Linked DNA regions of Schizosaccharomyces pombe. Changing the gene in region 2 together with the main gene of any one other region gives a genetic interaction. Each region holds a gene or a part of one and is shown on either strand. Other genes may lie near its edges. The genes, in order: pmo25 and ppk11.

Region 1 (3,857 bases), 420 kb from region 2:
TTGCTCGTATATTGGCTATTCAAAATTATAATGCCCCTATGATAATTTATCCAGCCATAAGCTTTTTGGAAACAGATAACAACGTGACTACTAATGTTTGTGTTGGTAAAGAATGGTATAGGTACCCTTCTACTTTCTTTTTACCAGATAATTCACGCCTAAAATTTGTAAAGAGTGAGTTTGACGGTATTTTACCCGGTGAATTCGTTGAATCTAATTCAACATGGTGGAACCGTGAAGGCTACTATCAGATCCCTGAACACATGAATGAATTCAATAATGAAGAGCCAACTCGTTATACTTCTCTTGAGTCTTGCGATTTTTTAATAGATTTAGAGTTTGATCATTCGAAGGCCACAGTCAACGAACCGATATATTCAAAGTCTGACGGTTGGATTCCAGTCATGGTGTACCCTTTCATTGACACGAAACAAACTCCTTTTATGGGCAGAGCTTTTGCTGTCCCCTTTATTGAGCCTAAATGGGGCCGATATGAGATATTGGTGAAAAAGCCGGTCAAGATTGATTTTTCAAATTTGCGTCGTGCCTCTAAACAACAAGCTTAAAATTTTTAAGAGAGTGTATGTAAGCCTTTCTTAGGTTGTTATTACTAAAAATTGTAAAAGTCTTTGCAAGCATATGTCCAAAGCTTTAAATTCTCTAAGAAGAAAGAAAAGGCTGTGGAAACTCAATTACATAGAAAAAATGCGAAGTTATTTTACATTTGATTTTCCAATTTGTCAGATATTTAATTAATAATTAGTGTCAAATAATCTATCTAAACGGTTGACTTGGCGATGTCAGACAATCTTAGGAAGTCTTAGTACATGAAATAATAAAGTTCTTTTATTCATGGAATCGGTTAGCAATTAACCTAATGCTAATATCTAAAGCATCCGTATCTCATGCATCAAATATTTCAACTCGCATATATCATTTAATAAATCTAATCTACAATTTTTTTTCCTTTGTAAATATAGGATGGACAACAGCATGATTTTGAAAGACATGAGCACATTGGTGAGTAACAAGAGTCATAAGCGTTCAATCTGTTTTATTACAAATGCGCGTTCATCATTAAACTGCTCATCATTTTTCCGGTCAGTATGAAAAGCTGACAAGTAAGAAATCAACTTTGATTTGTTCCTCCTTAATATTTCGATTACTTCTTCCGACTTTTCAGGATTAGCAACAAACAATTTAAAAACATGAAAAGCTTCAAATTGAATGTTTTTACTCTTATCTCTCAGCAGAATCATCATTAGTTTCAGATTCTCAGCAGAACTAATATAGCGTGTCATGACTGAACGGTTAGCACGATTAAGAAGAATTTCCCCTAAAAGCTTTAAAGATTGACGTTTGGTAACATAATTTTCAGATTTCAAAAGGACAGTGTATTGCTTAAAAAACTCGTCAAAATGGTATGAAATAAACTCAGCAACTTGGGATTTATGATTAAGAAGAATAGACTGATTAAAGTTAGTAAATGCAAAACTAGCGGGAGTATATAAAAACATTGCAACGACAGAAGTTTTATTTGGGGATAATACGTACCTTAAAAGTCGAAAACGCATCACTCGCCATATCAAAACTAGAGGCTTGTATCAAACTAAAAAATGTCCAAAAATCTCGTGAGTTTAAAAGTACCTCATTAAGGGCTTCATGACGGGAACACTCACGAAGGATAGAACCAGCAGTAAAAGCTACTTCCTGGTATCGATAGTATGAGACCAATACTGGAAAGATTTGCGGGTGCGCAAGCATGTAGTCAACAGTGGGATATCTCGATGCTACATGCCTCCTAAGTAAAGCGCTAAATATTAGTCCTGTATCCTTTTTAGACTCAAACTCCAATTTCGGTAAATATCGAACGAGTAAAAAAGGTAAATTCGACTGGTAAATTTGAAAAGATAAGTCTGATACGAGATCAGCATCAGGCTCTACTTCAGCTGTCCCACACAATGAAACCCGTAAATTCTGTAAACATTTGGAAACTTCCTCAAAGGACTGTTTACGTTAGTCATCTAAACGAACAAAAACAACAATTACTAATAATTAATACCTTCTTTTTATCATTGTTTATTTCCAACTTTGGGAGATTATCACATAAGCAGCGAACAACATCTTGGGTTGATTTTGGTCGTTTATTGAACAGAAACGACATGCGGAATTATGGAATTCGGTTTCTCTAAAAACTTATGGCATATGACAGGGTAAGTAAAGTGGGTGCCAGGCGATGGTCCACAGTGGGGGTCTATTTTCATATTCAGTTGAATACTATTAAGGTACACTTCTTGAGTATTCAAATTACCTTTACTTATACCTGAAGTGATACCAATGTGGGGGTTGTTACATCTCGATTATACATAAGTAATCAAGTATTGAAACGCAGGTGCATTTAGATGATAGCAAGTGTACTAAGTAGATCTATTTATGAATTATGCATTTTCCATACCTTTTTCTCTTCGGTAAATGAATTGGTAGGTTGGTATAGCTAGTAGAAATACAAAGTAGTAAAACAAACGTTTTTTAATGCTAATGTTTGAAATAGTATCTGGGATAAACTTGTAAATTGCAAATACATCCAAATCTCCATATAAACTTCACAATTTAAAAAAATTATTTAATTTAAAAAAAAAAATAAATAAATACCTGCGAGGTTTCTCGTTCTTACCATTTAATCAAATTTTCATAAATAAATATGTGAGAAATTGCAATCCAATTTTCGTCACAGATATTAATCAGACGAAGGGTAAAATACTCTGCTTAAAATATGAATCAAGATTGAACAATCTTAAGAATTTTATACATGTGTAAATCTTCAAATAATATCAGGAAAAAAAGAATATGTAGAAGGAAGTAAACAATTTTAGCCTGTTGATTTGTAAATTTATTTTTTTTAATTCACACTTCGAGCTTTAACATTAAACAATTATGTAGTTAATTACATGATATTATTCTGTTTTTGATACGTTGCCTTAAACAACAATTATTGTAGAGGCACCATGTTAGGTTAACCTCGTCTTTCCCTGTATATGAAATTAGCCCGCTCACATATTGTCTTTAATGATTTTTTTGGATGTATGGATCTAATTTATATACTGCGTTTTAATCATACATTATTTGATTTTTTATCTTTTTATAAAGCAGTTTTACTCAATGACTTCAATTAAAGTAGTGTGCCGAATTCGGCCCACGAACCAGTTGGAACAAGACCTTGGAGGAAATAATGTGATATACCCATTAAACGATTCTACTGTTCATATCGAGGTAGGTTTCAACAATTGATCTTTACTTTAGAATTCGGCTGACATGATTAAAAGACTAGTGATTACTCAGGAAACTTTGTATTCGATCGTGTTTTTCATCCTTCTAGCACTCAGAATGATATATTTTCGTATTCAATTGAATCGACAGTCGATGGTATGTGAATGATAGTAAAACTTTACACGGCGTTGAACGGATTAATTTCATCGTTGTCAGCAACAGCTTGTATGAAATTATAGCATAGCCTTTTTTTATATGCGCTCGTTTTGACGCTTCATTTGAAACGAATTGCCATTTTAATACATTGTTCGAATCACATTCAAGTTGTTCTGAATTTCATTAAATATGTACTAATATATTATAGACTTATTCTTGGGTTATAACGGAACAGTACTAGCCTATGGACAGACAGGATCCGGCAAAACATACACCATGATGGTATATTCACAATTTCACCTGGCACACTTTTCTAACAATCTTTAGGGTATTGAAAATAATTTCGAAAAAGAAGGAATGACTCCAAGAATGCTCAGGCGTATTTTTGACAAAATCCGCGATTCACCATCTACTACTGAATACGAAGTGAAGGT
Region 2 (4,738 bases):
ATATGCATGGCTAGTAATACTTGTGATTCCTATGTAATTTATAATTAAAACAGCATGAACTGTAAAACTTTTTTAGTAGTCATCGTCAAAAAGCCATTTCATTGCTCATATAGACTAGCAAAGTTGTATGAGTATTACTGGGTTTGAAAAATTATATGCAAATTACTAAAAGATTTTCCAAGATTTCAGTATAAAGTATCAGAAAAAAGTACGAGCTTTTCAAGTCCTTACTGATTTAATTAATAGAGACTTTTATGACTGAGACCCTCTTTTCTAAAGTCATTATTTCTATGATTTCAGCAAGTTGTTTTGTTAATGTCCTTATCGCGTTTTCGTAAATTTTAAAACCTGGCAAAGAATATCAAAAATTATAAGTCATTTTCTCTTAAAATTATAAAACTTAAATTGGACAACTAATAAAAAATTTACTTTAAATTTGTTTACGTATGGGGTATGCGTATACCTCTCTGACTAAACCTGCTCTACTTGCCATTTACCAAGTACAGGTATAAACGAAGGTAAAAAAAATGGATGGAGACGAAGCTAGTTTAGTAGCCAACTTCTGCGCAATAACTAATTCAACACCTGAAAAAGCTCAAGAGTACTTGAGCGTTGCAGATGGCGATTTATCGACTGCAATCACATTGTTCTTTGAAAGTGGAGGCGTTACCGATGTGCAATCGAGCTATATAGAAGCACCGAGTCAGACTGAGCCTGTAGAAGAAATTCGTGCGCCTATTGCACCTACCAGAGAGGTTTTGGTAGACCCGTTAGCTGATATGTCAGCAGGAACTTCTATTATGGGCAACAACTTTGGATTCGGGGGATTTCCAAGAATGAATCGAAGACAAAGAAGGCGTATGGGTATTTTTGATCAATCTCCCTCTCAAATCCCTTTTCCATCAAGTAATACAGAAGACTCGTCAGAAGAGTCTGACAGTTCAAGTAGAGCGTCACGCCTTGCAAAATTGTTTCGACCGCCGTATGATATAATTTCCAATCTCAGCCTTGATGAAGCTCGAATAGAAGCATCTTCTCAGAAGCGGTGGATCCTTGTCAATTTACAGACATCAACGTCGTTTGAATGTCAGGTACTTAACCGTGATTTATGGAAAGACGAGTCAGTAAAAGAGGTGATTCGTGCACACTTTTTATTTCTTCAGCTTTTGGATGACGAAGAGCCTGGCATGGAGTTTAAAAGGTTTTACCCCGTTCGTTCTACGCCTCACATTGCTATCCTTGATCCAAGGACCGGAGAGCGCGTTAAGGAATGGAGCAAGTCGTTTACGCCAGCTGATTTTGTCATTGCTCTGAACGATTTTCTAGAAGGGTGTACCTTGGATGAAACCAGTGGTCGTAAAAACCCTTTGGGAGCAAAATCACAAAAGCCAGTCGAAGCGATGTCTGAAGATGAGCAAATGCACAAAGCAATTGCAGCTTCCCTAGGAAATGGAAACTCGACAACTGAATCTCAAGGCGAAAGCTCTTCACAGCAAGCAGAAAGTCATGGGGTGGCCGATGATACTGTTCATAAAATCGATTCAGCTGAATGTGATGCCGAAGAACCATCTCCAGGACCCAATGTCACAAGAATCCAAATTCGTATGCCCAATGGAGCACGTTTCATTCGTAGGTTTTCTTTGACCGACCCAGTAAGTAAAGTGTATGCGTATGTGAAAGGAGTTGCCGAAGGTGCAGATAAGCAACCGTTTTCTCTTACATTTCAGAGAAAAAGTCTTTGGACGTCTTTGGATTCTACTATCAAGGAAGCAGGGATCCAAAACACAGCTTTGCAATTTGAATTCCAATGATAAAAAGTTTGATGAGTGTTTTGCTTGCTTTTCTATCCCAAAAATAGATATTTTCCTTGTGGTTAAGTATAATGAGATACATCCTAATGAAATTCCACCGTTTATTTATTCATTACATAAAAAATGCTTTGGCATGCCAGTTAAGTAATAAACCATATATTAGCTGTAGAATTGACTAAACGTATATTTATATTACGCATCTACGAATACTACTAGTGCACGAAGTGATAAGTCCTTTAAAATATCCAGATAAATATTAATTGTTTAATATTTAAGTGCACTTTTTCTGTAGAAAGATCTCATACTCAAGATACAGACTCAAATATCCCTGTAAACATATCAGCCTTCGCGGATACCGACTTTACACGGAGCCATATGGCTGTTCCATATACGAAGTTCCAGGTAAACTAACACTATCAATCCTTTTTCTTTGTAGAATTCAATTGTATTTATTAATATATAATATGGAAAAACATCAATACCGGGATTTACAACTTATTGGACAAGGAAGTTTTGGATCAGTCTTTCGAGCTCAAGATGTTGAATCATCCAAGATTGTAGCACTTAAAGTTGTAGATTTAGATGCTACAAAGGACCAGATTGAGACTTTGACCCAAGAAATTAACTTTCTGATCGATCTGAATTCGGTTCACATTACGAAATATTATGCATCATTCGTTGATGGATTTCGATTGTGGATAACTATGGAATATTGCGATGGAGGAAGTTGTTTAGACCTTTTGAAGCTTTCAGGAACGTTCAGTGAACGTGTTATCGCCGAAGTTATGAGGCAGGTATTAGAGGCCCTTGTTTATCTACATGGTCAAGGTAAAATGCATCGTGATATTAAAGCTGCCAACATTTTAACTATGAAAGATGGACTAGTTAAGCTTGCTGACTTTGGCGTATCAGGTCAGTTGGAGAGCTTGCGTGACAAAAATGATGACTTCGTTGGTACGCCTTTTTGGATGGCTCCTGAAGTTGTAAAGCAGACAGGATACAATTACAAAGCGGATATTTGGTCATTGGGAATTACGGCTTACGAATTGGCTACTGGGGAGCCTCCATATTCTGGCATACATCCGATGAAAGTTCTTTTACTAATACCAAAGCATTCCCCTCCGTCATTAGAAAGAAGTAAGTTTTCACGTGCATTCTGCGATTTTGTTAGCAACTGTTTGAAAAAGAACCCAAAGGATAGAGCTACCGCTGAATATTTGTCGAAACACAAGTTCATCAAAAAGTATTGTCCCAACACATCTGTGAAGGAAGTTGTAGCTTCTTATGCGAAATGGAAAGAATCCGAGCTATTACCGGAAGCTACCCCCTATAATAGTACCATGGGTAATTCTGCAAACACCATTGATGAAGTTGTTTGGGATTTTGGAACAGTTCGGCGATAAGCAAACGTTCACTTTTTTTCTTGTCTTTTTTGATCGCCTTGTATTGCTATCTTACATCAGTTAAAAAATACGGTTTGGAAGCAATGTATTTATACAAGTTTTTATTAACAAAAATTCTCATGTTAAGGCTTCTTACCCATTGAGCCGACTGGCTTTTTTTTCCGAGTTTAACAACTACTGTTCATATGTTTTTTCTTCTCTTAGACCTTGATTTAATACATTCAATATCGATTTGTGATAGCATCGCAGCCCTATATATGACAGATTAACCTAATATTCGTTTGATTGCGACGAGTACCAAGATATAGAAGACGCACATCTTTTTATCCCTTCTGTACTTGATATGGTTTGGGACTTTAAGCAATCGTTTTATATTTGATATCCTGATTTCTTTTATATCTTCGTTCCGACTAGTCTCAATATTAGGACAATACAACACCTGCTATGAGCTTTTACTAAGTGATGGAGTTACAGAGGTTAACAGTATTGGAAAACATATATTTATGCAATCTCCCGTAATTCCTTCATCCTGTCATGATACCGCTGATGTTTACCTGAGTGTCTCCAAATCGACTGTACAACTTTATGAGTTACTGCCATAAGTTGTAGCTGTTTTTACTTTACAATTCCATTATATCAACCATTTCTATATCTGGATAGCCCGAATCAGGTAGGAATTGAAACCTTTGAAAATATAGTATGCAAAATCAGATTTAAAAAAATACCGTTTTGTCATGATTGATAGCTTTTTGTCAACCCAATAATCAAGAATACTAAATCTGTAACCCTAATTTCCAGTTACGAAAGAACATGTGCAAGTTATACAAGGTATATTGTTTATTTACTGTAAACTTTGCTGTGTGGAAATGAGCTGGTGTTCTTTGATCATATAGAGAATAGGATAAATAGATTTGGATTCTAGTTGATCAAATGCAAAGAGATTGCAAAATTTATAAATTGATTAGAAGCATATTGAATTAAATCACAGTAACTAATTCCCATAAGACTGAATGAATTTGTCCGCAATTTGAGATAATAACATGCATATAGGTTGAAAAAGCATGTAGTTATATAATAGCTGAGTTTTTGGTTTCTTTAGCAGTATAATAGAGAAAAAATAAGTAATGAACTTATCCAAGTCTGAAATTCTGCACTGGATCAGGAAGCCAGTTGGTCAATCAATCGAAACTGATTATTCAATAACAGCACAATTTCTATAATTTATTTCATCTCAAAAAATGAAGCATTCGCAAGAAAAACTTGTAATAATTATCGTTATTTATAAAAATACCAAATAAGCTGTGCAAGCGCTTAGAAAAGTACATGGAAATATTAAAGGTAAATAAGGAACGGCTGAACGGAAAAAAACTTGTAAATTTATGCATTTACAGTTGTATGAAAAACAAAAAGAATTGTTTATAATTAAGAAAAATCACTAGCTTTTCCACCAATTAACAATCCAACGATCAATCCAAATAATCCCAAGACACTTCCGAAAATTTCGACAACAAGAACTTTTACGAA

The links.
Region 1: of ppk11 (region 2) and pmo25, changing one enhances a phenotype caused by changing the other (phenotypic enhancement), as found in Schizosaccharomyces pombe (one study listed by BioGRID).

Annotation. Positions count from the first base shown.
Region 1 is NC_003424.3:4,703,756-4,707,612, forward strand, and holds pmo25 (mo25 family protein Pmo25), read right to left. Parts: upstream 2,187-3,857; 5' UTR 2,165-2,186; coding exon 2,063-2,164; exon of another isoform or gene 2,008-2,062; coding exon 1,555-2,007; exon of another isoform or gene 1,470-1,554; coding exon 1,035-1,469; 3' UTR 733-1,034; downstream 1-732. Other genes in the region: mannosyltransferase complex subunit Alg9, read left to right, coding at 1-566; kinesin-like protein Klp3, read left to right, coding at 3,160-3,270, 3,324-3,423, 3,632-3,705, 3,751-3,857.
Region 2 is NC_003424.3:4,281,991-4,286,728, reverse strand, and holds ppk11 (PAK-like kinase Ppk11), read left to right. Parts: upstream 1-2,174; 5' UTR 2,175-2,275; coding exon 2,276-3,214; 3' UTR 3,215-4,238; downstream 4,239-4,738. Other genes in the region: UBX domain protein Ubx2, read left to right, coding at 528-1,811; vma16 (V-type ATPase V0 subunit c''), read right to left, coding at 4,637-4,738.